4 linked regions of the Saccharomyces cerevisiae S288C genome follow. The gene in region 2 interacts genetically with the main gene of each other region. Each region holds a gene or a part of one and is shown on either strand. Other genes may lie near its edges.

Evidence for each region.
Region 1: mutations in ALG3 (region 2) and ARL3 together harm fitness more than expected from each alone (negative genetic interaction), as found in Saccharomyces cerevisiae (3 studies listed by BioGRID).
Region 3: mutations in ALG3 (region 2) and GUP1 together harm fitness more than expected from each alone (negative genetic interaction), as found in Saccharomyces cerevisiae (3 studies listed by BioGRID).
Region 4: mutations in ALG3 (region 2) and SSK2 together harm fitness more than expected from each alone (negative genetic interaction), as found in Saccharomyces cerevisiae (3 studies listed by BioGRID).

The regions. Positions count from the first base shown.
Region 1 is NC_001148.4:456,849-463,292, reverse strand, and holds ARL3 (Arf family GTPase ARL3), read right to left. Parts: upstream 3,331-6,444; coding exon 2,734-3,330; downstream 1-2,733. Other genes in the region: DIG1 (Dig1p), read left to right, coding at 1-812; mannosyltransferase complex subunit MNN9, read left to right, coding at 1,327-2,514; KTR6 (putative mannosyltransferase), read left to right, coding at 4,835-6,175. UniProt on the Saccharomyces cerevisiae protein: Involved in the targeting of ARL1 to the Golgi. Can bind and hydrolyze GTP.
Region 2 is NC_001134.8:68,017-75,357, forward strand, and holds ALG3 (dolichyl-P-Man:Man(5)GlcNAc(2)-PP-dolichol alpha-1,3-mannosyltransferase), read right to left. Parts: upstream 3,112-7,341; coding exon 1,735-3,111; downstream 1-1,734. Other genes in the region: anaphase promoting complex subunit CDC27, read right to left, coding at 1-1,429; YBL081W (uncharacterized protein), read left to right, coding at 3,850-4,956; glutamyl-tRNA(Gln) amidotransferase subunit PET112, read right to left, coding at 5,054-6,679; NUP170 (Nup170p), read left to right, coding at 7,243-7,341.
Region 3 is NC_001139.9:346,388-354,117, forward strand, and holds GUP1 (O-acyltransferase), read right to left. Parts: upstream 5,912-7,730; coding exon 4,229-5,911; downstream 1-4,228. Other genes in the region: E2 ubiquitin-conjugating protein MMS2, read right to left, coding at 19-421, 507-517; coiled-coil domain-containing protein MAD1, read left to right, coding at 732-2,981; LCL3 (Lcl3p), read left to right, coding at 3,229-4,053; SCY1 (Scy1p), read left to right, coding at 6,671-7,730. UniProt on the Saccharomyces cerevisiae protein: Membrane-bound O-acyltransferase involved in the remodeling of glycosylphosphatidylinositol (GPI) anchors. Acts only on GPI-anchored proteins, but not on free GPI lipids.
Region 4 is NC_001146.8:676,781-687,416, forward strand, and holds SSK2 (mitogen-activated protein kinase kinase kinase SSK2), read right to left. Parts: upstream 8,654-10,636; coding exon 3,914-8,653; downstream 1-3,913. Other genes in the region: peptidylprolyl isomerase family protein CPR8, read left to right, coding at 1-323; ZNG1 (GTP-dependent zinc transferase), read right to left, coding at 419-1,708; ALG12 (dolichyl-P-Man:Man(7)GlcNAc(2)-PP-dolichol alpha-1,6-mannosyltransferase), read left to right, coding at 2,019-3,674; putative serine/threonine-protein kinase PPG1, read left to right, coding at 9,230-10,336; ubiquitin-like protein HUB1, read right to left, coding at 10,463-10,636. UniProt on the Saccharomyces cerevisiae protein: Kinase involved in a signal transduction pathway that is activated by changes in the osmolarity of the extracellular environment. Activates the PBS2 MAP kinase kinase by phosphorylation.

The sequences.
Region 1 (6,444 bases), on a different chromosome or scaffold from region 2:
TGCCCTCGGCGGGCATCATGAGCGCCATGAACCCTTACATGCCCATGAATCGCTACATAATGTCACCATATTATAATCCGTACGGTATCCCTCCACCTCACATGCTGAACAAGCCCATAATGACACCCTACGTGTCGTATCCATATCCAATGGGACCGCGGACCTCCATTCCTTATGCTATGCAAGGTGGCAACGCTAGGCCCTACGAAGAAAATGAGTATAGTGCTAGCAATTACAGAAACAAGAGGGTTAACGACTCATATGATTCGCCTTTGAGTGGCACCGCTTCCACTGGGAAAACCAGACGATCCGAGGAAGGCTCAAGAAATTCTAGCGTAGGATCAAGTGCGAATGCCGGTCCTACGCAACAGCGCGCGGATCTACGCCCAGCAGATATGATACCTGCTGAAGAATACCACTTTGAACGGGATGCATTACTCTCGGCCAACACGAAAGCCAGAAGCGCAAGCACAAGCACAAGTACAAGCACAAGCACAAACCGGGACAGGAGTTCATGGCATGAGGCAGAACCCAATAAAGACGAAGAAGAGGGTACGGACTTGGCCATCGAGGACGGAGCGGTCCCCACTCCCACTTTTACTACGTTCCAGCGGACCTCGCAGCCGCAGCAGCAATCACCTAGTCTTCTTCAAGGCGAAATCCGACTCTCATCGCATATTTTTGCCTTCGAGTTCCCCCTGAGCTCTAGCAATGTAGACAAGAAAATGTTTATGAGCATATGTAATAAAGTATGGAATGAATCAAAGGAGCTGACAAAAAAATCATCATCACATCACAGAACCGGAAAATAGTAGCCACACAGGCACTTATAAACTTACATACACTCGCATACACTCACCTACTCACACACGCACTCACACACACACTCTCACTCGCACACCAAGGACAATTCAGTACATACACAATTTTTATATAAGTTTGATAAACTAAAAGATGAGGGTGAGTATTCACCTTATTAATAGTTACAGCCTTTATCGTCACTAGACACGACAGCATTGGTTTGTCTTTTTTTTTTTTTTTTTTTTTTCCTTTCCATCGTTGTAGCGGATTTGGCGTTGAAGTATTTTGATATAAGTAAAACAGAACACCAAATCAAGAATAATAAAGGAGGAAAAGTCGTCAACCAAGCGGATTCTCAATTGGTAGAAAAGCTTTTATTATTTTCTGTTAGCCGCTCTTGGGACCCGTTATTTCTGAACCTATTTTTCCTTCCGCACTTTGTGAAAGTAAGAAGAGAATAGCATCAATTTTAGTATTTTTCAAACAGAAGAATTTAAAAGAGCTAGAATAAAAAGTTAGGAAACAATGTCACTTTCTCTTGTATCGTACCGCCTAAGAAAGAACCCGTGGGTTAACATTTTTCTACCTGTTTTGGCCATATTTCTAATATATATAATTTTTTTCCAGAGAGATCAATCTCTGTTGGGACTTAATGGCCAGTCCATTTCCCAACACAAATGGGCACACGAAAAGGAAAACACATTTTATTTTCCCTTCACCAAGAAATACAAAATGCCAAAGTACTCTTATAAGAAAAAAAGCGGCTGGTTGTTCAACGATCACGTGGAAGATATTATCCCAGAAGGTCATATTGCACATTATGATTTGAACAAATTGCACTCTACGTCAGAAGCAGCTGTCAATAAGGAGCATATTTTGATATTGACTCCAATGCAAACATTTCATCAACAATACTGGGACAATTTGCTGCAGCTAAATTACCCTCGGGAATTGATTGAATTGGGGTTCATTACACCAAGAACAGCCACTGGTGACTTGGCCTTAAAGAAATTGGAGAATGCTATTAAAAAGGTTCAAACGGACAAGAAAACTCAAAGATTTAGTAAAATTACTATTTTGCGACAGAATTCCCAGAGTTTTGATAAGTTGATGGAGAAGGAAAGACACGCTTTAGATGTTCAAAAGGAAAGACGTGCAGCAATGGCTTTGGCGCGCAATGAATTACTATTCTCCACCATAGGACCTCACACTTCTTGGGTGCTGTGGCTAGATGCCGATATTATAGAGACACCACCATCTTTAATTCAAGACATGACCAAACACAACAAAGCTATCTTAGCTGCAAACATTTATCAAAGATTTTACGATGAAGAGAAGAAGCAACCATCAATCAGACCATACGATTTCAACAACTGGCAAGAAAGTGACACCGGTTTAGAAATAGCCTCTCAGATGGGTGATGACGAGATTATTGTCGAGGGTTATGCAGAAATTGCCACTTATAGGCCATTAATGGCTCATTTCTACGATGCTAATGGCGTACCAGGTGAAGAGATGGCGCTGGATGGTGTTGGTGGAGGCTGTACTTTGGTCAAAGCAGAAGTTCACAGAGACGGTGCCATGTTCCCTAATTTCCCATTTTATCACTTGATTGAAACAGAAGGTTTTGCTAAGATGGCGAAGAGATTAAACTACGATGTATTTGGCTTACCAAACTATTTGGTTTATCACATAGAGGAAGAGAACCATTGAGCAACTGAGCAAAAAGCATACAGAAGCTATAGCGTTATTGAAAGATAATATTGTTGCGATTATTAGTTGAAAATAAACAAAACAAGATATATATTCATATATATATATATATAATTTACACATGTATATTAAAAAATGCCGAATAAAAAGTGCTACAACAACTAATTTCTGAGCTTGAGAATAAACCATTCACATTTTATTTCTTTTGGTGCTTCTTTATCATTTATAAATCGGTGGTCTTGACTTTTTATTCCTTTCTAGTCTAACAATCATCCATTCTATAGCGTCTTTAACACCTTCTCCAGTCAATGCGCTTATTGGTAAAACCCTACTATCTCTAGCGCTTATATGTTCCGCAATCTTATTAAATACTTCTTTTATATCTTGTACTTCCATTCTATCTTGTCTATCTTGTTTATTGGCCAGCATCAAGATGGGTACACCTTCAATTTCTTCATCCATTACAACTGACTGTAGGGTCGTGGAACATTCGTCTAATCGTTCTCTATCTGAACTATCCACAATGAAAATTATACCATGACATAGGGAATAGTATTCGGACCACATTGATCTCAGTGATTCTTGACCACCTACATCCCAAAACTTCAAGATCTGTTTACTGTCAACGGGTATTGTCGCCACATTTTGTCCTACCGTAGGCTGTATCTTTTCCAAGGCTTTGAACGCCAGAGAGTATTCCTTTTTCAATGTCTCCAAGAACGTCGTTTTGCCTGCATTGTCTAGACCTAATATTAGAATTGAATATTGTTCCTTTTTATTCCAATTATTGTAAAGTCCCTTGACTAAATGAAACATGTGTGCGGTGCGCTTTATATGCTTTATTCTCCTTCATCTACTTGATTAACACATCGATCTGAATTCGTTTTTTAATTTTCCGTTTACATTTGTCTGAAAAAGGTGTAAACATATTTCTTATACTAACACTCCCATAAAGTTCAAAGTAGAAAATAGGAGGTGGGGGAGGATACGTACATATGCAAGCTACATTGACGTATCTGCTCTTAAACATAAAATAAAAATGCAGTAGTATGTTAACTTATTTAATGGTGGGATATATGCTTCTAACTGAATATAACTGCTTAGCATTCAAACTCTAAAATAACAAAGTTTTCATCACCTAATAAATGAGAAATAGAATCCGTAGCTAAATCGGTCGAGTTCAACAAGACTTCTCTATCTTCATTTTTAATCAGTTTCCCACCGACCCAGTTAAGATTTTTCAAAAGATCCAAACCATTATTAATTAAATCATCTCTTAAAATATACAATCTCAATTTCATGTATTCGAATTTGAAGTTTTGGTTCAGGTTGGAAGTTAGCTCTAAAAGGGCAAGTAACCAATCTTTATTTATATAGGTACTGTGGTTATCATGAACGTTCCTACTATTCAGTAAAGATGGTAATACAACATGGAAATAGTTTTCATTAAGTTTACACCAAATCAGTTCCTGCGTAAATAGGGGAAGATACAGTATGAAATACTGCGAGCCTAGTTTTCTCCAATTGTAACCATCGTGGCTATTATTATTTTTATATTGCTTGGTATTTTCATTATAAATTAGTCTTTTTAACGTAGTTTTCATATCGTTTACAAGCTTATTTTTCAACAGCTTAGCAACAGACTTCTGATTGTTCCCCTTATTTTTTGACGGAACATTGTAATCTAATATGAATTGAGATTCCATGCATAAAATAACATCCCAGTAAAAATCGATGATATCAATCTCTGGTGGAACGTCTAGAGGGATGTCACGCGCACCAATCCTTAAATCCCCCACTAGCCAAACTATACGTAGAAAGTTTAGGCATTGGTGTGCACTTATTACTTTTTAGCAGTGAACTTACTGGAAAATGTAAAGAAATACCCAGATTTGATGGGTCCTCTATGAGCCTCATGAGTTCAGGACTCTGTAAAACGTTTATTATTTTTGTTTTCCTTTTCTGTATTACTTCATACATTTTCAAAGATCTTTTTACTTCTTTATGTTATCCTCACTATTGAAATACAACGTTACTAGGTCTTTTATCTTTCCATATTTTTATTCTCAATCACATACATATATAGTCATCGCCGATTATCTTTTCGTTTTTTAAGTGGCGCTCTCGTGAGACACGAGTTGTTCCTTCACAGGAAAAAAAAATATAAAAATAACCTTCAAGTTACATGTGATATTTATTCGAGAAATGTGGATGAGATTTGTTAAATGTACTTATAATGTGTACGAGTATACAAGACTAGAGGGATACTAAGCGTTCACCCAACCTTTTGTGCCCTTTAGTGAAGATAAGATAAGGTAAGATGCACGTACTGCTGAGCAAAAAAATAGCACGCTTTCTGTTGATTTCGTTTGTTTTCGTGCTTGCGCTAATGGTGACAATAAATCATCCAAAAACAAAGCAGATGTCTGAACAGTATGTTACACCATACCTTCCGAAATCTTTGCAACCTATTGCAAAAATTAGTGCAGAGGAACAAAGGCGTATACAAAGTGAACAGGAAGAAGCCGAATTGAAGCAATCTTTAGAGGGAGAGGCCATTAGAAATGCCACCGTGAATGCCATTAAGGAAAAGATCAAATCTTATGGTGGTAATGAAACGACGCTAGGGTTCATGGTGCCATCGTATATCAATCATAGAGGATCACCACCAAAGGCGTGCTTTGTCTCACTAATTACTGAAAGGGATTCCATGACCCAAATCTTACAATCTATTGATGAAGTGCAGGTGAAGTTTAACAAAAATTTTGCTTATCCTTGGGTTTTTATTAGTCAGGGGGAGCTTGACGGAATGAAGCAAGAAATGATTCGTCAAGCCATAACTGATTCTATGAATGGTGATCCTGAGTTAATTAATATTAAATTTGCTGAAATTCCTGCAGACGAATGGGTATACCCTGAATGGATTGATGAAAATAAAGCAGCAGAATCGCTAATTTCATTAGCAAATGTACCGGATGGTGATTCTAGAGCTGTAAGATATCAAGCTAGATATTTTGCAGGGTTTTTTTGGAGGCATCCAGTTCTGGATGAGTTTGATTGGTACTGGAGAGTAGACCCTGGTATTAAATTGTACTGTGATATTGATCATGACCTTTTTAGGTGGATGCAAGATGAAGGCAAAGTGTTTGGTTTCACATTGAGTATGAGTGAAGCTAAGGAAGCCAATGAGAAGATTTGGGATGTTACGAAAAAATTTGCAAAGGATTTTCCAAAGTTTATTTCCGAGAATAATTTCAAGTCATTTATTACAAAAAAGGACTCTGAAGATTTTAACAACTGTGAATTCACATCAAATTTTGAAATTGGTAATTTGAACTTTTATAGATCGCCAGCTTACAGGAAATTTTTTAATTACATCGACGAAGAGGGCGGTATTTTCTACTGGAAATGGTCTGATTCCATCATCCACACAATTGGGTTATCGATGCTGTTGCCAAAGGATAAAATACATTTTTTCGAAAATATAGGATTCCATTATGACAAGTACAATAACTGTCCCCTAAACGATGATATATGGAACCAATATAATTGTAACTGTGACCAGGGTAACGATTTCACGTTTAGAAGTGGTTCATGTGGCGGACATTACTTCGACATTATGAAGAAAGATAAGCCAGAAGGTTGGGATAGGTTACCATAAATCAAAACACTGATGTATAAGAACAATAATCTTCTACATATGAATATATATACATATGTATTTATTTATTTTATTTAATTTTTAATTAGGATCGCGAGAAAGAGAAAAACAAAACTAACTTATGATGGAACGTATCGAGAGGAGGTGAATATATATATATAAAATGACTAGGCTAGAAGATTCAGAGCTTCATGTATTGTCGTAGTTTTTTTGGTTTGACTTTTTTAATCAAATTTCAAATTTCAGTAAATAATTGGTTGGATATTACT
Region 2 (7,341 bases):
GCACTAGACACCATGGCATTGTGTCTTTAATATGAGATGGGATTTGAGACTCGAACAGTCTTATTGCCTTGAACGAATTGTATTGTGATGACGACCTTAATATTAAAGCGAAATTATACATGATTTCAGGCAGCGTAATTGAATAATCACTCGTTAGTATTGAGTTACTGATTATTAAAGACCTTGGATTTTTCTTGGAAGTTGTTAACCTTCCTGTTGAGGAATATAGGTTTCTTGGAGTTTTGAAAGTTGTTTTATTTATAATGTTATTATTATTATTATTATTATTATTATTATTATTATTATTATTATTATTATTATTATTATTATTGTTATTTTGGTGGTTCCTATCGTTATTTAACAGTTTCGATGGAGGAGTCGTTAAAAGTTTGTTTCTGTTATAAACTTTGGCCAACGAGCTTATTGTAGGCTGTTTGGAGGATGGAGACACTAAGTTCATGGAAATGTTATTTGGTAGCGCAGAAGACGTCTTACTGTTGATTGCAGGGTTTTTAGGAGTTTGAGTATTTTTGTTCTGGCAGGTCCTTATTGATGTGTTCGCTTGTTGCTGCTGTGACCTTGAGAAATGCTGAATGGAAGAAAAAGAAGATGCCGATGTAGAAGGGGGAGAATTAGACGACTGAAACAGTGTATTAACATTATTATTGATATTATTATTGCCGTTTTTGTTTGTTTTTGAATATAAGCTAGGTTGTGAACGAGGTTCGAAATGCGATAGTGATGTAGACGGAAACGATGAAGCTGCATTATTATTATGACTATTACTTTTTTTCCCTGCAATGTCGAAAAAAACCCTCTTGAGATCCACGGTAGCTCTCATTTTACAAATCGCTTCGTAAGATTCCCAAAGGTAAGGATTAATGGCTAATGCTTCAGAATGATAAAATGCTCCCTCCTTAGAATGGTCCAGTTTCATATAAAGATTGCCTAACAGGCAATTCAAAGTGGCCAAATCGGGAATATGGACGAGATTAGAATTCAACACCATATTTATGCGCGTATTACTGCTGTTCGAAGAAAATACATTTATTATTGAGAGAAGAGTGAGGATAGCTTCGTTAACTCCCTGCGAAAGCTGTAAAGCACAACGCCCGAATATGTAAGCGATACCAAGATGATACTCCTTGAATTCTTTGGATATCTGGAACGCAGTGTGGTAGCTTTTATTCAGAAACAGCGAAAGTGCATATAAATATACCGCATCGGACCAGTAAACACTTGATTTATCGAGAATGGAGCATTCAGCATAGAGCAGTTCGGCCAAAAACTCTGCGGTACTGTAGTTCAACTGCTGAATAGCCTGCTGAATGCAGTCCTGAAGCTGTATGATGGTGCTCAAAGCTTGATCATCAAAGCTGGGGATTCCTCTCGAGAGGGTGAACGGTGCTAACTCAGGATTTACCGCCATGCTATTTTTATTATGTATCCTGCACGAAAAGTTCGTGTCGATTTATGAATAGATATGCAGTCACCAAAACAGAGTCTAAAACTCTCACAGCTAGGTATGGTTTTTTGATAAACTTTTCTGTGGCACCTTTGCTTGCACTTTGATCCTTTTGGTTTACTTTCAGCCTGTTCCATCCTTTTGATCAAAAAAAAAAAGGAAAATCAAGCGCGGGTAATAACGGCACCATTAAATACTAGTAGTACTATATAGATGGTATAAAGAAATGATTTAAAACAATACGATTATATGATATTTATACATCTGTTTCAGTTGAGCTTTTTTTCCATAGAGCTGGTGGTACGAAGATGGCTTTTGGCGAGGGCGACCGAACCAGATAGCTGCGTCAAGGCCAATAGAAGCAACAGAACAGTATTCAATGCCAACAATAGCGTGCTTGCTTGTGAGTTTGGTGGATAGGAATTCCAGCACCACTCGTGCAAGACGTACCAAATGGGACCAACGAAGAAGGGCATTCCCGACCAAAAGATCAGTATAGGCAAAGTCCAGTGATACCAGGATAGAAACTGGTAGTGGAGGGACCTTGAAAATAGGACGCCGATGAAGTTGGATGCGATTAGAACGAATGGAATAGTCTTGGCGGGATTGGCATTGAGCACTGCATTTTTCCTCAGCGGATGGCACAGGGAAGACCATAAATCGGGCAGGATGCGAGGGTATCTTGTGACGAACAGTGTGGTGAGCGCTATCAGGTGGCTGATTAAAAGGGCCAAGTGGAACCTCTTATCATTGAAAGCCTCTTCATCCATCATTTGCCAATTGATACTCCATTGGTACATAAACTTCCTGCCGAAATTAAAAGCGCAATGCAGGTACTGTTGCGGAAAGCTGCGCAGGAAGGGCACTGCAACTGCGACTTGCCATGCAATCATCGCAACGAGATCCAACAAAGTAAGGATTACGTTCGCGTCATTAAGGATGAATAGAGAAATCATCATTGCAGGGAAATACAACAGCGCATTCATCTTAATGCTCACAGCCATACTGTATGTTGCGGAGATCACCAGCGCAAGGGACTTCTTTAATTTGGGGCGCTGATGGCACCTGCTGGCCACGATAGCCCCCAAAACCGTGACGACCATAAACAAAGTAGTGAAGCAATCATTGAATAACCGTAGCACGTAAATAGAGTGCAATCTTTTAGAGAGGCACGCCAAGACCACACACCACGGTGGTAGATGTAAAAGGTAGTAACACGCCATTTGTAACGCCAGTGTAAGGAGATACAAGTATCTGAAAAACACTTGCCCGCGCTCAACGTGGTCCATTCCCTCTGTTAGCCAGTACATCATCTTGTAGATCAAGACGTGGCCTGCTGGATACACCAGCGGGCCCGTTCCACCACTCACCTGAGAGTAGTCCAGCATGCCATCGAGCTGAATCATCTCGATCTGCTCCATGTACGCCTTGTAATCGATCTCTGTGTAAGCTACCTTCTTAATGATAATCTTGCACAGCATGCTTTCGAACAAAATCAAAAGGGGCATAACGATAAGATTGGCCCTACAATCGAAGATCACGTAGCGCACACCGTCCTTGAGATCCTGCCACAGATCCAGCGGAGGTCTGACAAATTGCTTCCTTTGCAGAGACTTTTCACCTTGCGGAGACTGTTCACCTTCCATACTACTAGTATCTAACTCTTTCTCTCTCCCATACACACTCTATGATACTGTTTTCACTCCCAACTAGTGTACTGCGTTGTTCTTTAAGTTCGATAGCGAAATTTCTTTAGCTTGTTTACAGCACCCAGCAACCGCACACAGAATGTGACGGCAAATGCATTTTACATGGAAGGCTATCTACAAAACAGCAATAAAGAGTCATGTAAGATTGGGAAATCTCTAATGTGACATTCCATACTTGTTGCAACAATTTTGGGATGCTTCTGCGTCGTACGACCCTGTATTTACCTTCTCTAGCTCATCGCTTCCCAGGGTCCACGTTAATTTTTCAATTTTTTCTTGCGTGTCGAAGATTCAGGTCTCGAGAAATTTGTCAAAAATTTTTCACTAGATATTAAGAACTATATACATCGAATAAGATGCCAGCACAGAAGAGATAGGCAATCAGTTTAGATACTACAGACACTATCCAATAGTGCAAAGCAAAAGCAGCATAGAAAAAAGAGAATCCCGTTTCCAGCTTTTTCTCTTTTTCCCATTCGTTTTTCCTGATCTTTTTTTCTGCATCGTGGCACCTAGAACAAGAGGTACCTTCCATCCTTCGCTTAATATTTGATACGACTTTTTTGATTTCCATTATTATTATTTGTTACTATTATTATTTATCATTTGGGTTTCGGTTTTTTGTAATAATTTTCTTTTTTTTTTTTGGCTCTATTTCACTAAGACATCGTATATATGCCAGGCCAGATAATCAGCATTCCGTTTTTGTCGCAGAACGAGGACATGGATAAATACTTGTTGGAGTACCGCAGTTTGAAGCTCCTTCATCAGTCCAGTAATTCCTTCCAGTCTCACAATGCGCCCTCCCACCAGTCGAACTACCACCCCCATTACAATCACATGAAATACAACAACACTGGTAGCTATTACTATTACAACAACAACAATAACAGCAGTGTAAACCCACATAACCAAGCTGGTCTACAATCCATTAACAGATCTATTCCATCGGCCCCGTACGGGGCTTACAACCAGAACAGAGCTAATGACGTACCATATATGAATACCCAAAAGAAACACCACAGATTTAGCGCTAACAATAATTTGAACCAGCAAAAATACAAGCAATATCCCCAGTATACGTCCAATCCAATGGTTACTGCACATCTGAAGCAAACGTACCCTCAACTGTACTACAATAGCAACGTCAATGCTCACAACAACAACAACAACAGCAACAACAACAACAACAACAACAACAACAGCAACAACAACAACAATCTTTACAACCAGACGCAGTTCTCCACGAGGTACTTCAACTCGAACTCCTCTCCCTCGTTGACTTCTTCCACTTCTAACTCATCCTCTCCATACAACCAAAGCACCTTCGAATACATTTTGCCGTCAACTTCGGCAGCTTCCACAAATTTATCGTCGTCATCATCAAACAACTCTATGCACACCAACCCAACCACTGCAACATCGACATCCGCCGATTTAATCAATGATTTACCCGTGGGCCCCACGTCCAGTTCGCTTATCTCGGATCTACATTCTCCACCAACTGTATCTTTCCTACCAGCAAGCCAAACCCTGCTCATGTCCTCCACCACATCTAGCTCTATTGGCACCAACATAAACCCACCGCAACATTCACCATCCCCATCGCAAAGGGAGGATTTTTCGACGGCACCAGTGAACATGTCTTCGTCCGCATCACTCTTGATGAATGATTCTTCTTTAGGATGGGGGTCTAACCACATGAACGTATCTTCATCCTCTCAACCAGCATCATCAAGACCCTTTGGCATTTGGAATACTGACATGAGCGTTTGGAGTTGAGATGTTTACGTATATTTTTATGTATATTATTATCATTAGTATTACTATTATTGTTATTATTTATGCACGGTTCCTATTTACACGCGGCGTTTATATTTTACCATTGAATATTTAAGATCTCTTTGAATTTTTTCTCGAATTCGTTTGCCTTTATACGTCCCTGGCTTCGTCTCATTCCTTGTCCAATTAGGAATTTTAAAGAGGACTTCTTTTTACCAGTAACCAGGTTCCGTATAAAAGTGTCATCTGTGTGCTGTGCAATGACATCATTACAGAGATCCATCAATTCTTGAGGGTCGACCTGATTAATCGCATGCAATTCAAATTTCTCGATTAGTTTTGAAAAATCTGGAATAGACAAATCTTGGCAGTTACTCTGCTCGAAATTTTCCAATATGTGAAACAGTAACATTTTACCACTAGTTGCGGATATAACCTCTTCATGCAATAACTTCAAAAACTGGGCGAAAACCGGAGGAGGCAAAATTTCTTTTGCTTTGGCCAATGGAATTTGTAGCTTGTTCAAATCTCCCAAGAATTCATGGATTATCCAATTCGTAGGTAATTTCGCGTTACTACGTTCACCAGCAAGCTTGGAAAATTCACGGAAGGTGTCTAAGTAGTACGATCTCAACGCCTCATGATTGTACATATCGTTTTGGTTACTATTATAAGTCAGAATCTTGGCGTCCTTCAATGATAATTGATAGGGTTTCTTCATAAGAATTCTCATTATATCGTCCGGTAATTGGGGCATCAACCCTCTCACACCACTGATAACGTCTGGTGCGAGGTTGATATACGGCAATTCTGGATCAGGCATGTACCTGTAATCGATCGTGGTTTCTTTGCTTCTCAACTTCACCGTTGATGAGCCTGTCCAGCCCCTTGTTTCTGGCTCCATCAGTGAGCTAGTGTCACCCACAGAAATCAACTCAACTTGCCGCTGATATTCGTACTTGATTGCATTGATGATGGAACTAGTATTGGGTAAATTCTTCAACTCAACGCGTGCATATTCATTAATTGAGAGGTTAACGTCCACTCGCATGGCGCCCGTTTCCAGGTCCCCAGAGGAAATGTGCAAATGACGTACCAAATTCTGATATTTTTTAATAAACGCTCTAACCTGTTTAATATCACTGAAATCTGGTTTAGTTACCAATTCGATAAGCGGGACGTTCGACCTATTTAAATCAACCAAAGTAATAACGTCTTTATCTGTCTCTGTATAGTGTGACTTCCCCGTGTCCTGCTCTATCTGCAACTGTAAGATACCGATTTCCTTGGCTGATTCATCGATATCATCCAATTCCTTCGACAGATTGATCTTCCCACCCCGAGCAAACGGCCTGTAGTGCTGCGTCAGTTGATAGCCTTGAGGTTGATCTCCATAAAAATAATGCTTCCTATCAAACTGAGATATGCTATTCACTTGAGAACCCAGTGCCAAGGATAGTTTCATGGCAAACAAGATTGCTTCCAGATTCAAAACCGGCTGCGTTCCCGGTAGAGCTATGTCATAATAACTAGTATGATGGTTTGGTGCATCCACTAGAGATGTGGCGCTATTCGTTGATTGTGAAAAAAGCTTGTTTTTGGTGTTCAATTGCGTATGAATCTCCAATCCACACTTCAATGCATATTCCGGCCTGAAGGGTGCACCGTGACTATGTATGGCTTTGGTTCTGGCCAAAGAATAAAAACGTGCAAGCCGCAACATATCTAGTTCCTACTCTGGTCTTTTTGGACAGGAATGCTAACAATAACACTATTACTAGGTGGTACGACTAAGTACATCACGTCAAGCTTATTACTACTATAACTACTATTATCATAACAAAAGGGAAAACTAAACCCTATCTAAACAAGGGTTATTTAAATTTTTAACAAGGGCATACAACAAAAAAATAATAAACCTAAAATCAGAAAGTTAATCTTTCAGGGCTTTTGAAAGTGGAATTAACGTCTCTAGTAAACGAGGATTGTTTCCAATGAGATTCTAAGACCCAAATATCCTCTTCTTTACTTTGAAATGTTTGCAATGGACCATGATTATGGATGTGTTCTTTGTGACACGCTTTCAATGTACTCTATATCGTGTTGCACGAAGGATTGTTACTTTATTTGTAAAAAAAAAAACAATTTTTCGAGATGGGACATTAATATTGTAGAATTCTGAACATATTAGTGAACAGTTCTTTCGGAGAATTACTGGAACCTAGGATCTGACAAGCGGACAAAAAAGCAGAGTGCGTTTATTACTTCTCTTTCTAGCGGTTGTTCATGTTTCAAAGTTTTTTCCACAACAATGGGCCCGCTGCTGCCGGTGAAACGTTTTCAGATAGCAGATCGTACCCTTTAACGAATCATCAAGAAGTACCC
Region 3 (7,730 bases), on a different chromosome or scaffold from region 2:
TTAGGAAAAAGTAGATAACTAAAAGGTTTCTCCTTCCTTCGGTTGACGCAATTTCTTGTTCGCTGGGGTTGCCATTTCCTTTCTAAGATCAAGTAATAAAGTTTCCATGGTGTAGGCTCTTTTCCAGTCACGTAAGGTGTGGAAGTCAGTTTGGACCTCCCCCGTAGTTGGATTGACGCATGGTAGATTTATCTTGGAAATGAAAGTGACCTTTGGGGGAGAATCTGGATAGTTTGGGCCACAATCTATAGAAAGGGAATAGATTCTGTTTTCATGATTACTATGAGGGGGCCCTAAAATAGTGCCGTTCCATTTGGTCATGGTAATATCGTCGCTATCAGCTAAACCATAACTACATGATTCTGGACCAAACCCTTTTTCACCCTTTTCTAATTCTTCTAACAACCTAAAATTTCTTGGTCTGATTTACAATAGGACAGTGAGGGTACATTTCAAGAATTTGTTAGTATATGTTGAAATCCCTTTCAAAACTTATAATAACATACACTTTTGACATTTTTGTGTAAACGCTGCTTTCTTCTACGTTGCATATACAGAATAAGAATTTCACCACGACATCGAAATGTAATGAGCAGAGATTGTGTAGGAAGTTGATCTTATTTTAGTCTCTTATTTATCGCTAAAGGAGCAATGAAAATTGATAGCGTGTTACCCTAGGAATAATTCCTAACAATTTTTTCCATCTTAAAATCGAGAGGTAATAGTAAATAATGGATGTGAGAGCGGCATTGCAATGTTTCTTCAGTGCATTGAGTGGACGATTCACTGGAAAAAAATTGGGACTAGAGATCTATTCTATCCAGTACAAAATGAGCAATAGTGGTGGGTCCTCTCCTTTCTTGGAAAGCCCTGGAGGTTCGCCCGACGTAGGCAGTACAAATGGACAAAGTAATCGTCAGATTCAGGCGTTACAATTCAAGCTCAATACTCTACAAAATGAGTATGAGATTGAAAAATTGCAGCTACAAAAACAGACGAATATCTTAGAAAAGAAATATAAGGCCACGATTGACGAATTAGAGAAAGCATTGAATGATACAAAATATCTTTATGAAAGCAATGATAAATTGGAGCAAGAGTTAAAGAGTTTGAAAGAAAGATCAGCTAATTCGATGAATGATAAAGACAAATGCATAGAGGAATTGCGAACAACCCTCCAAAACAAAGATTTAGAAATGGAGACTTTAAGGCAGCAGTATGATTCGAAGTTATCAAAGGTCACTAACCAATGTGACCATTTCAAGTTGGAAGCAGAGAGCTCTCATTCGCTACTGATGAAATATGAGAAAGAAATAAAGAGGCAAAGTGTGGATATCAAAGATTTGCAGCATCAAGTGATGGAAAAGGATGATGAATTATCTTCGGTAAAAGCATCTAAGATGATAAACTCACATCCAAACTACTCCACCGAAGAGTTCAACGAGCTCACTGAAATGAACAAAATGATCCAAGACCAAGTTCAGTATACTAAAGAATTGGAACTAGCGAACATGCAACAAGCCAATGAATTGAAAAAACTTAAACAATCCCAGGACACTTCTACTTTTTGGAAATTAGAAAATGAAAAACTACAAAACAAATTAAGTCAATTACACGTACTCGAAAGTCAATATGAAAATCTTCAATTGGAAAACATAGATCTAAAATCGAAATTAACCAAATGGGAAATTTATAATGATAGTGACGATGATGATGATAACAATGTTAACAACAATGATAATAATAATAATAATAAAAATGATAATAATAATGATAATAATAATGATACAAGTAATAACAACAATATTAATAATAACAACAGAACCAAAAATAACATAAGAAATAACCCTGAAGAGATTATCCGGGACTGGAAACTTACCAAAAAGGAATGTTTAATTTTGACAGATATGAATGATAAGTTAAGATTGGACAATAACAATTTAAAGCTACTGAATGATGAAATGGCTTTAGAGAGAAACCAAATACTAGATTTGAACAAGAATTATGAAAACAACATAGTAAATTTGAAAAGATTAAATCACGAGTTAGAACAACAGAAGAGTTTATCTTTCGAAGAATGTCGATTACTGCGCGAACAATTAGATGGCCTATATTCCGCACAAAATAATGCTTTACTAGAGGTCGAAAATAGTGAAACACATGCGTCAAACAAGAACGTAAACGAAGATATGAATAATTTGATCGATACTTATAAAAATAAGACAGAAGATTTAACAAACGAACTAAAGAAGCTAAACGATCAGTTATTATCAAATTCCAATGATGTAGAAACACAAAGAAAAAAGAGGAAGTTGACAAGTGACCAAATTGGTTTAAATTATTCACAGAGGCTCAACGAATTGCAACTGGAAAATGTAAGTGTCTCGAGGGAGTTGAGTAAAGCACAAACTACAATTCAGCTACTACAAGAAAAATTAGAAAAGTTAACTAAACTAAAGGAGAAAAAAATACGTATACTGCAATTACGTGACGGCCCCTTCATAAAAGATCAATTTATCAAGAAAAACAAATTACTTCTTCTAGAAAAGGAAAATGCAGATTTACTTAACGAATTGAAAAAGAATAATCCAGCAGTGGAAACAGTACCCATTTCTGTTTATGATTCACTAAATTTCGAGTTGAAACAGTTCGAACAGGAAGTTTTTAAGTCAAATAAAAGATTTTCCAGACTAAAGCAAGTTTTCAATAATAAATCTTTGGAGTTTATTGACGTTGTAAACTCATTATTAGGTTTTAAATTGGAATTTCAACAAGATAGTCGTGTGAAAATATTTTCCTGTTTCAAACCTGAAAAATATTTGATTGCTGATCTAAATGAAAACACTTTGAAATCTAACCTTGATGCAGATATAGAAGGATGGGATGATCTCATGAATCTATGGGTGGAAGATAGAGGTCAACTTCCGTGCTTTTTGGCAACAATAACATTGCGTCTGTGGGAACAGCGACAAGCCAAATAAGTGTATATACATTTCTAATAGATAATAGTAATCGGTTTTATAATATGATAAACTCCTATCCGCTGACATAATTGTTGGTCACAAAATTCTTTTATCTTTCTTCATCATTGACCTTTTATGATTCCTTTGGTATGCAAAAAAAAAAAAATTGTGTTGAAGAATAAAAACAAATTACAGAATAAGTCACACATGATATAAAAAGAAGCCCAGTTTTTCATAGCTATTAAGGGGGCATAAATGCACTTATATGAGGGAAGGTGATTCTAATTCAAAAAAATCTGCGGATGTTGCTGTCCTCTCCATCATCCTTACGGGTTCGACCTTAACATTGATCTACACATATAAAAGGTATTTAACTCAATTCAAAAGAACAAATGATATACCGCGAAGAATATTTCGTAAACACTGGCTTTATGGTAAAGTCACGTCTGTAGGTGACGGGGACAACTTTCATTTCTTTCACATGCCAGGTGGTATAAGAGGTGGATGGGGATGGTTACGACCCGTCCCACAAATGATCAAGAATGATTCTACGGCAGAAAAGCTTGTTGGAGATAGCAGAAATATGAGGTTTTTCAATTTCAATTGGATTACGCATGGGAGGTCCACCAAAAGTAAAATACAAAAAGCTAAAAGCCAGTTCTTGAAGCTAAATGTACCTTACAAAAATAGGAAAAACCTGCCAACTATTCCTATAAGATTATGTGGAATCGATGCCCCAGAAAGAGCACATTTCGGTAACCCAGCTCAACCGTTTGGTAATGAAGCTTTAATTTGGTTACAAAACCGAATTTTGGGAAAGAAAGTATGGGTCAAGCCTTTATCTATAGATCAGTACAACCGTTGTGTAGCTCGAGTGTCATACTGGGACTGGTTTGGTGGGTGGAAAGACTTAAGCTTAGAAATGCTCAAGGATGGATTAGCGGTTGTTTATGAGGGTAAAGTAAACACAGAATTTGATGATAGAGAAGATAAGTATCGATATTATGAATTTTTGGCAAGATCTAGAAAAAAGGGACTGTGGATCCAGAATAAATTTGAAACGCCTGGTGAATATAAAAAACGTATTTGAGTTTTCGAGAGGATTTTTATCCATCATACTGCAGATTTTCATATTATATGTTCATTAGCTTTTCACGCTTCCTCTCGATATTTTTTTATTTATTTTCGGTTTCATTTTTGTACTAGTAGATAAAAATACATACATGATAGCAGTGTTATACAATTGATATTCGTAAATTTGGCATTCAGCATTTTAGGTAAATTCCGTGCCTCTTTTCTTCTTCTCTGATTTCAAACATTATTTGTACTGCGATGAATAAACTAACGCTTGCCAAAATTACAAATTTGAAACCAGATACGGTACAGAACATATCGCTTAGTAATTTTTTAGTACCGTCAGAGCCCAAGCAGAATCCAAAAAGATTAGCGATCATCATAACCCATATGTTGAAAACAGCACCGACAGCGCAAACGTGTCTGTACCAGACTGCGTCGGTATAATGAGAGAAAATTTGGGTAGCAAAAATTTCTGGTAAGAGGAACAAAACTATTAGCCAACCCCATAATAATAACTTTAGTTCGATGTCATGCCATATAGCTACGAAGGAAAAGACTGCTAGTGATGTCAAAACTCTATTTTTTGAACCACCTAGAGGAATATATATGTAACGGACAACCCACTTATTGTAGCTTCTATGCCAAGCTCTCCAGAATGCTAGTGAACTGTAATTGTTATCAACACACCTGATCATATTTTCAGGTGTATCGATTCCGTCTAGCAAAGCCCACAGCCTAAACAGCCTCCACGGAATCAGTAGTTTTAGCCAAATAATATTCAAATTAAATAAGCCAATCATGGAAATCTGGAAAGGTGTGTCATTTTCCCACGCTTTGGTTTTTGAGATTGCCACAACGTGGAGAAAGTGTAAAATGAACTCCATAGATAAGAGAGCAATAACGAATCTCACCGCATAGTAAAAAATGAATTTGAAATTTATTGATGGCAAGGTATGTTTCGATTGGTAAACATAATCATTGAATGTTATAATGGGGCCGGCAATGAAAAGTGGCGTGTAAGTAACATATGCAATATAATTCATTAAGCTGTAGTCCTGTATGGGGTGTGCAGCAGTTAATCTAGCACGTTCATTGAGCAAAATGGCTGATTTAGCTTCTTTTGATTCATAGGATGGACTTTTCTTCTTTTGTAAATTCTCCCACCTCTCTAAGAAGTCCAAGTTGTAACTTAAGACTCTCAAAAGAGTAAAATTGAAAAAGACATCCCATCTTGGAATGATACCTCTATACCAATGGTCCAATGGGCTTAAAAAAGAGCAAATATTACCAAATGGATATGCTCTGAAGTTGTCGTTAATAAAAAGCGTAGAAATACCATAAATCCAAATGCTGATGGTGGCTATTCTTCTAAAGTTCTTTAGTACATGGGCGATGGCATATAAAATTAGCATATGGGCTAAAATTCTTATCGAATTGACACCATGAGCGGCCACTAAAAAGATCAAACCAAATATCAGATCAAACCTCAATTTAGTGATATTTGTTGAATAAAGTACAATGCGTTTTATAGAAGTGTGGACTAGCATTAAAACTGACAATAGCGCAAAATTGTCCCTGAAAAACCTATATTGAGAATCACTATTGTCTACTTTTCTGCCAAATAACCAACCTTGAGATAGGAGACGTTCGTATCTTGCATAGTTTGGATTTTCGGGCGAACTAGCTTGTAACCCAGCATAGAACATCAAGGGAACCACGACCAGAAATGCAATGTAGTAGAATTTGAACTCAGTAGTTTTCCATAGTGATGGCTTAGTGGTAGTAGAGGCATCCTTTTTTGGTGAAGGTTTGATTCTTGAATCTAAGCCCTCGGAAGTAATTAGGGGAGACAGGATGCTGATCAGCGACATTTCTTGCAATTGTCTGTTAACAAATGCTGATTCACGCTTTGTTTTTGCCTTTGTATGATTAACATCTATATATCGAAAGCAATATGCTAAGTTATTATTCTTACCCTTTCAGTGTCCTTTTTGGCACACCCACTAAACATAAAGAGAAATACGTGAACACCTATACACCCTATATTATTTTGATTGTTCAACATTGCTTGATTCATCATCCATTCTCCAGCTCTCGAATCTTGTTTCTGGCTTTTCCAAGATTATGTGAAAATTAACTTACTCTTTTTGGTCGATAAATAATTACAAGTTCAAGTGCATGTCTAATTGGAAACTTATTTTTATGTCCGATTGAGCTGATGTTCAGCTAGTTTATGTTTATACAAGAAAAATGCTCACCCGTACATATGCTCCTTCTTCACTCATTTTCTTGTCCTGTTGTTGAGACATTCAACTTTGATCCTGCTCTTGTACTTTTATGATTCATTACTTATATATTGGTCTTCATTATTCTCGAGATGAAATTCTCAGGGTCTTTTAAAAAAAAAGTTTCAGTAGGAAAACTAAACGTAATTAAACTATTCTTCGGTTCGAACCTGAAGTTGCGTGAAAAAAAGGGTACTGCAGTCTTGAAAAAATAGAAGCCAAAAAGAAGTTAATATCAAAACAAATAAATCTTGCACATATTAAAGCGCACAAAAGTATTCAAAACAGTGTAACTTCGAATATCGTATCATTAAGGAAAATAGGACACACTTTGATTGAGCAGGGATGATGTTTTGGTCCTCAAAGACGGGTATCACGTCAAAATATTCATTTTCATCATCACCTACTTTCACAGCTGAACCATGGAGCATTTACACCGGTCGTCCCAAATCTTCATCTTCATCTTCACCTTCCAAAGTATCGATATTCATGTTTGACAAGAAGCAGTTCGAAAACTATTTGTTACACTATGGTATTATTAAATCCAAATCTGGATCCAGAGATAAAGTATTAATACAAGAAGCGTACGAAATATTAAGAAACCAGGCCAATAACTTGGCCAAGCTCAAGCACCCAAATATTCTGACTTTAATTGAACCATTAGAAGAACATAGCAAGAATTTCATGTTCGTCACCGAGTTTGTCACTAGCTCATTGGAGACCGTTTTCAGAGAAACCGATGATGAAGAGCAGAATTTCTTACAAGGTCATGTTAAAGATAATATCGTGGTACAGCGAGGTATATTGCAACTGGTAAATGCACTCGATTTTGTTCATAACCGCGCAAGCTTTGTACACTTGAACATTCAACCTAGGGCAATATTTATCAATGAAAATTCTGATTGGAAAATTTCCGGCTTAGGCTATTTAGTAAAAATACCACCAGGCACAAATACCTCTGAATACTTCTTACCTCAATATGATCCCAGAGTTCCCCCATTTATGCATTTACAATTGAATTATACGGCCCCAGAAATTGTTTTTGAGAATACCCTAACCTTTAAGAACGATTATTTTTCTTTAGGATTGTTGATATATTTTCTGTACACTGGTAAAGACTTGTTTCGCAGCGAAAATTCGACTAGTGAATATAAATTGGAGTACAACAAGTTTGAAAGCAAAATTAGTACAATGTCATGGGATAATATATTCAGTAAGGTTCCACAAAAGTTGAGGCATTGTATACCCAAGCTAATAAACAGAGACATCTATTCCAGATATGATAACATAACGTTGATTTTAGATTCTGAGTTTTTCCAAGATCCGTTAGTCAAAACCTTGAATTTTTTAGACGATTTACCTACCAAAAATAACGAAGAAAAATACGTATTCTTAGAGGGTCTCG
Region 4 (10,636 bases), on a different chromosome or scaffold from region 2:
GCAAACCAGAGCAACCAATAACAATAGGTTACATTTCATCCCAGGAACACAGGATTCAGCATGCAAAGGAAGCTCACGAAAAGTATTTACAAAGGCTTCAAGATTACCAAAACGGCGATTTGGAGAAAGGTATTACATTGAAGAATTATTTATACCAGGGTAGTCAAAGAAAGTTAGAAGACGCAAAATATAATCAGCTTCACCATCCTTTACCAAAGATTATGCTTGGTATTTCGGTATTGTTACTTTTCTACGTTTTGGCCAAGTACAGGAAAAGAATATTCAACAGATCGTCTAAAATAGTTTCTATTAGAGAGGATTAAAATGTTTCGATCCATCCGCTTAATATTCATTCATTTTGTATCACATACATACGTATAAATATACATAACTTACCTCGTCTTTATTATGCCAACCATCATTCCAGGGTTTTACGTAACAGTTCCTCTATGGATTCCTTTTCTAGGTACTTCCCAATCAGCACAATTTTACACTCTTTATTGGATCCGTCATATTTGCCTGGAAAGACATCGTAGGTGTCGCGGACGCCTTGGATTACACGAGCAATGGGGTTCTCTCCTTCAATAAGTATCAGACCTTTAGTTCTTTGTACTTCCCAATCACGGCCGTCATCTCGGCGACGCCCTCCCAGCACTGTCATGGCTCCAAAATTCTTCCACAATAAAGGTTGCAAAAATTGCTTAATAAACTTATTATTATATTCTTCCTCGTTTTTTAATGGTCTGAAAGTAAGCATTATTGTGCCCATTCGATCATCATGAATGGTACCGTTTCCGCTACCACTATCTAAGATGTCAGATATCCGTACACTGTCGTATGCATGAATATCTAGTAAATTTTGAATCGGCGTATCACTATACTTGGTGAAGAACATCGGTGCGATAGAATTTATTTCCCGTACTCTTTCTTTTAATTGTTTGACCATTTCTGGTGAATGTTCGATAGTATCGTATTTGTTCATTATAATTCGATCAGCCATGGCTAGTTGGAAGTGTGCAATAGTCAGATTCCCCTCCAAACCAACTTTGTCACCATGCCAATGGGCATCGATGGAAATATCATCTAAGCATTTTAGTATATGCTCACAATCCAAAACCGTGATGATCCCGTCAATGTAAACGCTGCTATTCAATCCTTCGTCCTGCCAGAACATTTTCGCAATGGGGGCGGGATCTGCAATACCGGAGGTCTCTAAAAGGATATAATCGATTTTACCAGGTGAACGCTCCACCATATCTTCGATGGCTTTAACACCTATATTTTTCAACGAACAACACAGACACCCGTTACCCAAATCCAACCATTCTTGGTAGCTGTTCGATCCATTTTTAATGGTCATAGCCTTTTCGATTTCACTAGAATCTCCAAATTCATTTAAAATTACGGCAATTTTTTTATCTGCACCTTTTAATGCAATTTTTTCCAGCAACGTCGATTTACCTGATCCTAGATAGCCGGTAATAATGCTCACAGGAATACGCTTTTTCTCGTGCACATCTGTTGCGCCTGCAGAAGTGTTCTCCACTTGCTTGTTTACCCTTTCAACTTTTGCATCGCTAACAATATTTCCACCATCATACGAGACATTTTCCAAAATTTCTTGTAGATTATTTTCTTCACCTGTTACGAGGCAGGGTAGTTCACCATCTTCTTCTTCATTGAACTTGATGTTTCTCAATGCAGACATTCTTCCGCTTTAAAAGTTGAAAATTCCTCAATGAAAAGGGTGTTCTTGGCTTTACAAGCGCATTAAACATTTAATATTATATAATATTTATAATATACATGTTATTCCAATAGTGAAAAAAAAAAAAAAATGAAAATGAAAATGAAAAATTCGGCCCTTAAAAATGAACAACCTTTTACCAGCCGGCATTAAATGTCGTGGCACTTCACAGTTTATAACGCAAGGAATTTACTAATAGCAAGTGAAACCATTAACGATTAGTGTTGTTAAAAGAGTTGAATAAAGCCATTAAACAACGATTCAGTTGACAATGCGTTGGTCTGTCCTTGATACAGTGCTATTGACCGTGATTTCCTTTCATCTAATCCAAGCTCCATTCACCAAGGTGGAAGAGAGTTTTAATATTCAAGCCATTCATGATATTTTAACCTACAGCGTATTTGATATCTCCCAATATGACCACTTGAAATTTCCTGGAGTAGTCCCTAGAACATTCGTTGGTGCTGTGATTATTGCAATGCTTTCGAGACCTTATCTTTACTTGAGTTCTTTGATCCAAACTTCCAGGCCTACGTCTATAGATGTTCAATTGGTCGTTAGGGGGATTGTTGGCCTCACCAATGGGCTTTCTTTTATCTATTTAAAGAATTGTTTGCAAGATATGTTTGATGAAATCACTGAAAAGAAAAAGGAAGAAAATGAAGACAAGGATATATACATTTACGATAGCGCTGGTACATGGTTTCTTTTATTTTTAATTGGCAGTTTCCACCTCATGTTCTACAGCACTAGGACTCTGCCTAATTTTGTCATGACTCTGCCTCTAACCAACGTCGCATTGGGGTGGGTTTTATTGGGTCGTTATAATGCAGCTATATTCCTATCTGCGCTCGTGGCAATTGTATTTAGACTGGAAGTGTCAGCTCTCAGTGCTGGTATTGCTCTATTTAGCGTCATCTTCAAGAAGATTTCTTTATTCGATGCTATCAAATTCGGTATCTTTGGCTTGGGACTTGGTTCCGCCATCAGTATCACCGTTGATTCATATTTCTGGCAAGAATGGTGTCTACCTGAGGTAGATGGTTTCTTGTTCAACGTGGTTGCGGGTTACGCTTCCAAGTGGGGTGTGGAGCCAGTTACTGCTTATTTCACGCATTACTTGAGAATGATGTTTATGCCACCAACTGTTTTACTATTGAATTACTTCGGCTATAAATTAGCACCTGCAAAATTAAAAATTGTCTCACTAGCATCTCTTTTCCACATTATCGTCTTATCCTTTCAACCTCACAAAGAATGGAGATTCATCATCTACGCTGTTCCATCTATCATGTTGCTAGGTGCCACAGGAGCAGCACATCTATGGGAGAATATGAAAGTAAAAAAGATTACCAATGTTTTATGTTTGGCTATATTGCCCTTATCTATAATGACCTCCTTTTTCATTTCAATGGCGTTCTTGTATATATCAAGAATGAATTATCCAGGCGGCGAGGCTTTAACTTCTTTTAATGACATGATTGTGGAAAAAAATATTACAAACGCTACAGTTCATATCAGCATACCTCCTTGCATGACAGGTGTCACTTTATTTGGTGAATTGAACTACGGTGTGTACGGCATCAATTACGATAAGACTGAAAATACGACTTTACTGCAGGAAATGTGGCCCTCCTTTGATTTCTTGATCACCCACGAGCCAACCGCCTCTCAATTGCCATTCGAGAATAAGACTACCAACCATTGGGAGCTAGTTAACACAACAAAGATGTTTACTGGATTTGACCCAACCTACATTAAGAACTTTGTTTTCCAAGAGAGAGTGAATGTTTTGTCTCTACTCAAACAGATCATTTTCGACAAGACCCCTACCGTTTTTTTGAAAGAATTGACGGCCAATTCGATTGTTAAAAGCGATGTCTTCTTCACCTATAAGAGAATCAAACAAGATGAAAAAACTGATTGATAATAGCTAACGTCAATTCCAATAAAATATATAGCGAGCGTTTTACATTAATCCACCTCGACTAGACTTCAAATTTTCACTTTTATATCTTACCTTTATAAATTTCTGTTCTCAAAATCAAAACAATTATAAAAAAATGCTATCATTAATCTTCTATCCTTGAATTAACATTATATACTCTCCCCCCACTACATTATATTTTGATTTTACATATAATACAACAAACCTTCTCAACTTAACTACTCTCTTTCCTCAGTATCTGTAGAGGAAGAATCGTCGCCAAAGGCTATTTCTCTAATTTGTACAATCCAAGGATCCATCAACAGCTCAACCGCACTGGCTCTCTTGGAGGGGTTTTGAATAAGACATCTTTCCAGAAATTTCATACCAGCAGACGACACTTCATCCTTAGTAGGGAATTGTGGGGTATGTCCTGCAGCAACATGGTACATGATAGCCCATTCATTATCTAAGTTAGCCCATGGCCGTCTACCAGTGATCATTTCTAATACCACGCAGCCTAACGACCAAACATCGTCTGCCCCAAGTTTGCCTTTGGTGGTAGATCCAGTGATGGATTCTGGAGCCATGTACATAGGAGTTCCCATCATGTCTAATAGAGCATTTTCGTTATTTTTCACTGCCTTTGAATCAGAAACATGGGTAACATCTTCGTGTTCACCATCTGCGTTTTCGATTTTGTTCATACTTGCCAATCTAGTTCCATTATTAGCAATTTTTTTAGCAGCACCAAAATCAACATACTTAATAACACCATTAAAATCTAGTAGGATGTTTTCGGGTTTAACATCACGGTGAACAATGCCGGATTCATGCAAATATGCAAGTCCTTCTAGCAATTGTAAAGTGTAGACTTGAGTGACCATTTCATCTTCAATACGACCATGCTCCAAAAGAGCTGCTAGGGAACCGCCTTCACAATATTCCATAAAGATGTTAACTTTATCACGATGAACTTCAACACCGTAATATGAAACTATATTTGGATGGTTCAATATCTCTAAGACACTCATTTCCTCCTTGATTAAGGGGAATATTTTTTGCATTGATTTGCTATCTTGAATATTGATTTCCTTGACTGCTAAAATCTCACCATTATCCAAATCAACAGCAGAATATACCCTTCCAAAAGTACCGCCACCAATAAAGTTCCTCTTTTGCCATCTCATAGAAACGTTCGATATGGAAGATGCCAAAGAAACAAGGTACTTGTTACCTTTGTCACTATCATCAATTACTTTACCAGTTTGATGAGGATTCCGCTTTATCCTTTCTTCCAATTCCATTATACTTTGTACTCGGAACTCGGAATTCACTTGTAGCATCATATCATCGTCAAACACATCTTCCAAATCAAGATTTGATCTAGCTTGTTGATTGATTTTCTCAACTTCTATGGAGCGTGCGCCTATTATATCAAAATGAGAAATAAGTAATGACATGCATTCTGAAATTTTTTGTTTTAAAGAAGAAAATTGGCATTCATCAAGAGCTAGTATGTTCCAACCGCTTACCATATGCATCGCGAACTCCATTGACGTGACACACCACCTAAATACCCTTTGATCAGTCGGATCACAGTCTTCAGCTAAGAACTTCAGCCATCCGATACTTAACCGCATCATTAAAAGTATTATAATGGATCTTTTTTCATTGTTGGCAACATTAATTCTCAAAAAGTTCAGACCAAAATCCCTCCCAAAAAGGAAAATATTATTCAATAAATCATTGACAGGACTTACCTTCTTGAACGTGGTCACAATCTTTGTATAGTTCTTCAGAACACTGTACGTGCATCTGAAATATGCTTTATTTATCCTTTGTAAGTTGTTTTTAACCGTTTCTGAGGAAGATTTTTTTTCCAAGAAAGAAACTGAGCTACCAGATATCTGTTGGAACCTGTCACATTGGTATTCTAAGGCATAACTGGATCCTTGGCACATCAAATCTATTGAATTAGGAATTACTTTCAAGTTCAATCCCTCTGGTTTAATTGTTTTGTTATCGGATAGATTATACATCTCACCCTCCCAAAGTAATGGCTCTTGCGGAGTCAATACCAATACATAACCAAGAGAGTTCAATCTTGTCTCCAGTTCATAAAACTCTTCCTCCGTGCTCCTGCTGTTTTCAAAATCCGGTTCACGATTGACTCTATTACCGTTATAAGATCTAGGCTGGGTGGTCAAATCGTTTTTGATATAATAAAATGGGGTACCATCATTCGAGATATCTGAACCCAGTGATGAGTTGGAGTTCCAATTATCATCCAAAGCATTATAAATTGTCAGACTGTTATTAATTTCTAGCTTAGGCACTAAATCACAACCGATGTCTGAATTCTTAATGATTCTTAAAATATCATCATCTTTACAGCCTAATAGCTCTGGGCTACCAATTAAATAAGTACCATTTTGCTCTAGGTAACCTCCTGTGTATATAAGAAAGTGGCCTGTTTCTTTTAGTTGCTTTAGCAGATAGTTGTGATCTTCTATCTTGTAGCGGACAAAATTTTGAAATGCTTTTGTCAAAATATTGGTGAATCTATTGAGTTTTCTTTTCATGGATCCAAGTATTTCGAATATTTGCACCAGCCATTTTTCAGCAGCAGCTTCATTCTCTAATTTTGGCGGAGTGTTTTGCTGCCTTAAAAGGTAAGCGTGCAATCTGTGAACCAATCTAAGTGTCAACTTCGTAAATTCTGCTGCGATCAGTTCGCCTGCATCATCAATATAATAGCCGACGTTTCTAAACATTTCCCAATATTTTAATAACAGATCAGGTTCTTTAGAAGTCTTGAATGAGTTTTTGCCACTATATAATATTCTCAGTTCCAAAATGGAGAAAAAATATTCCAATCCTTCAACAACGGTATGATCAAATTCGGGATCGATTTTCACTTTAAAAAACCAGTCATTACAGTAAGAAGCAACAGTGAATTTCATTTGGACTGCCAACTTAATATATGTACTAAAATCGTCCATCATTTGATCGATCATCATCAAGGTTGGATTCTGTATTTTCTTCGCGTAAGATAGGCGAATTAGTATTATATCTTTTACCAAACGCATTGGAAACATCAATAAAAATTCCAGATCTTGATCCAAATAAGATAGATTCAATTCATTCCAAGTTTTTTGGTATTTCAAGAAGAAAAATTTGGCCTTCAAAATCCATGGTGCTAATGGAAAGAATATTTTTTTTTGAAATATCAGTTCAATATCCTTTTCCTTCATAATTTGCTCCGCAAAGCGTTTACAATTAGTGGCGAAAACGGCTGGATCATCCAAATTCACGGTGGTGTTATCCACTTCGGTAGTGCTTTCTAGCTCTTTATTGCCAACTATCCATTTTTTCAGGTACGCAATATTAGTATCAAAGTTAAATTTGAAATTAAGCCAACTATTCAAAGTATCTATTCGATTCCTGAATGCTTCTGTTTTAGTAATGGGTTTTTCAGCATGCATTCTTTTAATGTTAGGCCATAGATTTAAGACTCTATAATATTTGTCTACTAGTGATTTGATAGTCTCTGCAGCCTCGTCAGCGCTCATATTATCTTCTAGTTTAAAGGCCATGATTTCTTGAAATACGGAGTCAGTAGAATCCCTAAAAATCCTCAGAGATTTGTTCTGATCTTCCACGGTCCTCCCATTCATCCATGCCTTCAACTCAATCCAAATGTCATCTGAAAACTGAGTATTGAAGCCAGGGCCTTTCCCTTGATTTGCAATCTTCGTTTTTTCATTCCTCACAATATCTCCCTTCAGTACCTTAGATAACATTGTTTGCCATTCAAATCGGTTGTTCACCATAGGATTTTGTAACAATTTTGACAGCAAATCCTCGCTCCCCAGTATGGAATGCCACTCCTCATCTTCTATTTCACACGGTTGATCATTGTTCACATCCCTCAACCAATCCAATTTGCCCTTTAGATAATTTAGGCTCATCGAAACAACATTTTCATTATTTTTTGTGCTCGACGTAATAAAATTATAACCAAAATTGAAGTCGTTATCTTTATCCTCACCTTCTACCTTTAAAAGATCATCCATTTCTAGTTCTAAGTCATCTTCACCTTTGTTACTAAAATTTTCTTCGTCATCTTCAAAGTTGGATGATGCGACTATACCTCTAGTGTAATAATCATCATTAGCACGGTTTCTCATTTTTCTTAAATATAACTGTTCATTTAATACATATTGTTTTTTGTATGTTCGGAGGCTCGTTGTGCTTCCACCATGGTGGCCTACAGACCGTTGCGAGCTATTTGTCGTGACAATATCCTGCAAAGTGGAGGAACTTGTTGACCCATTTGGTTGCGATCTGGTGGGAATGTGTTTGTTCGAAGTTTGGTTTGTAATATTTTGTGGCGTTGACATAATCGATGTATTCGTTGTATTTAGTGAAGCCAGTTCTGGTGATATCACTAACGTTGGGGTCGTCAATAATGGATCTTGATTACTATTCACGGGAGCGGGCTTCTTAATAATCTCGCTCTCTGTTTTACTAGCCTCAACTTTCTTATGTACAGGAACAGGTTGAGTAGACAACTTCGGTAGAGACTGCTGAGGATTTTTTGGTAGAGGAAGACCAATATTCGAGGGCCGTCTACTAGATCTTGCCGAGGAGCTGGAGGACCCAGAAATGGCATTTTGATGAAAAAACTGACCTTGAGGTATACCCGGAAGACGATTGAATAGCTGTACTGTATTTAATGGAGACTCTCCAGGGCTGTAAACAGCGTTTGGTGATCTAAAGTACTGGGTAGAATGCAGCCCTGGGCTGATGGGCGATGACGCTACTCGAGCCTGCGTAGTATTGGAATTTCGCCCTAAACTTTCCGACCTTAGTCTAGATGAAGATGATGAAGATGACTGCCTCATCTTGGAGCTGCTGGGCTTTTCCGTGGAATCGCCGTAAGGCTTATAATTGAAGTAGTCTGAATGCGACATTATTTGTGCCTGTCAAATAGTTTACGCAAAGGCTTCTCTTCTTTTTAGTAATGGCAGACTGTTTGTACTTGAAACTGCCCAATAGTAACTTGAAGGACAGACGGAGCTCACACAAAAGTTAACAAATATGCTGGAACCTTTTTTTTTCCTTTGAATTCTTTGTAAACCAGTAATTCGTTTTGAAAACACCCGTTCTTAGCTGTTCTTTAACAGTACTACTCTCTAAGGCAATAACACACTGGGGCAGCAACAATTACAATCTTCTAACCTCTTCTAATCTGCAGATTTGGCTTCTTTCTATCTCTGTTTACCCACCTTTATCACTCTTTTCAGATTAATCAATTCTTTCCATACAAAGAAACGCCCGAAAAGTGGCGCGAGTTTCCCGGGTGATGGAGCAGTAATTAATAATGCAAAACTGCTAAAATACCCACTGTTTCAGGGTATGAAACGCGGTATTTTCAGCGAGTTGTAGGTAATTTGGAACAGTTCGTGACTGTTTATTAAGTTCCACTCATTGCAGTTGTATCCCCACTGTGTACTTTTATTTTTGGTTAGAGAATTGGCCCAGTAGAGATGGAATTGGACGAATGTTTAGAAAGGCTATACAAGGCCCAGTTACTACCTGAAGTGACTGTAAGGGCACTCTGCTTTAAGCTGAAGGAAATGCTAGTGAAGGAGTCAAACGTGATTCACATTCAGACCCCTGTCACAGTCGTGGGGGATATGCATGGACAGTTTCACGATATGCTGGAGATCTTCCAAATAGGCGGCCCTGTTCCTGATACGAATTATCTGTTCTTGGGCGACTATGTAGACAGGGGGTTGTACAGTGTGGAAACAATTATGCTATTGATTGTGCTTAAGCTTCGATATCCTAGTAGAATTCATCTTTTGAGGGGAAACCACGAGTCACGTCAAATCACGCAGAGCTATGGTTTCTACACGGAGTGCTTGAACAAGTACGGTGGCAATTCAAGAGTTTGGCAATATTTGACAGATATATTTGACTATCTAGTGTTATGCTGTATTATCGACGACGAAATTTTTTGTGTTCATGGTGGGCTCTCGCCCAATGTTCAAACCATAGATCAGATCAAGATTATTGATAGATTTCGAGAAATTCCACACGATGGCGCCATGGCAGACTTGGTTTGGTCTGATCCGGAAGAAAACAATAACCCCACGTTAGATCATCCAGATAACTCTGGACAACATTTCCAGGTGTCACCTCGTGGAGCAGGTTATACTTTCGGAAGAAGCGTGGTGGAGAAATTCTTACGTATGAACGATATGAACAGAATATACAGAGCCCATCAGTTATGTAACGAAGGTTACCAGATATATTTTGATGGATTGGTTACTACTGTATGGTCGGCGCCAAACTATTGTTATCGGTGCGGCAATAAAGCATCTATTCTGGAGCTGTATAGTAAAGATCAATTCTACTTCAACGTTTTCGAAGAGGCACCTGAAAATAAACTGTTGAAAGAGAACAGTATGAACGACAATGCCTTAGAAGATAGCATATCTAATCCGGTAGCCAACAGGAAATTGATTGCAGATTATTTCGAAGACGACTCTGCCTCCGCAGATGGCTCCACGGACCCTGAAATGTACATATTTTCAGATGTATACCAAGCCAGATCTGCTTCTAACAGACATGTTGATTACTTCTTGTAGCTTACTAAACAATAGAAAAGCATTATAGAGACAACGCCATCTTATTATTTCTACATATTCTATCTCTCTCGGTTGCAAATGTATGTATTGTGTATTTAGATCAAAAAAAAAAAAACAGCGCATTTTCTACAGGTAATACAGCTCCAAATTTGTCTGATCATGTACCTCATAATCTTCCAGAGAGATATGGTCTTTTAAAACACTTCCACCCTTCTGCAACACAATTTTGTTTGGTTGGGTGCCAATTTGCAAGGACAATACTTTTTTGAAATCACCTACACTATCTTCAGCAAGGCACTT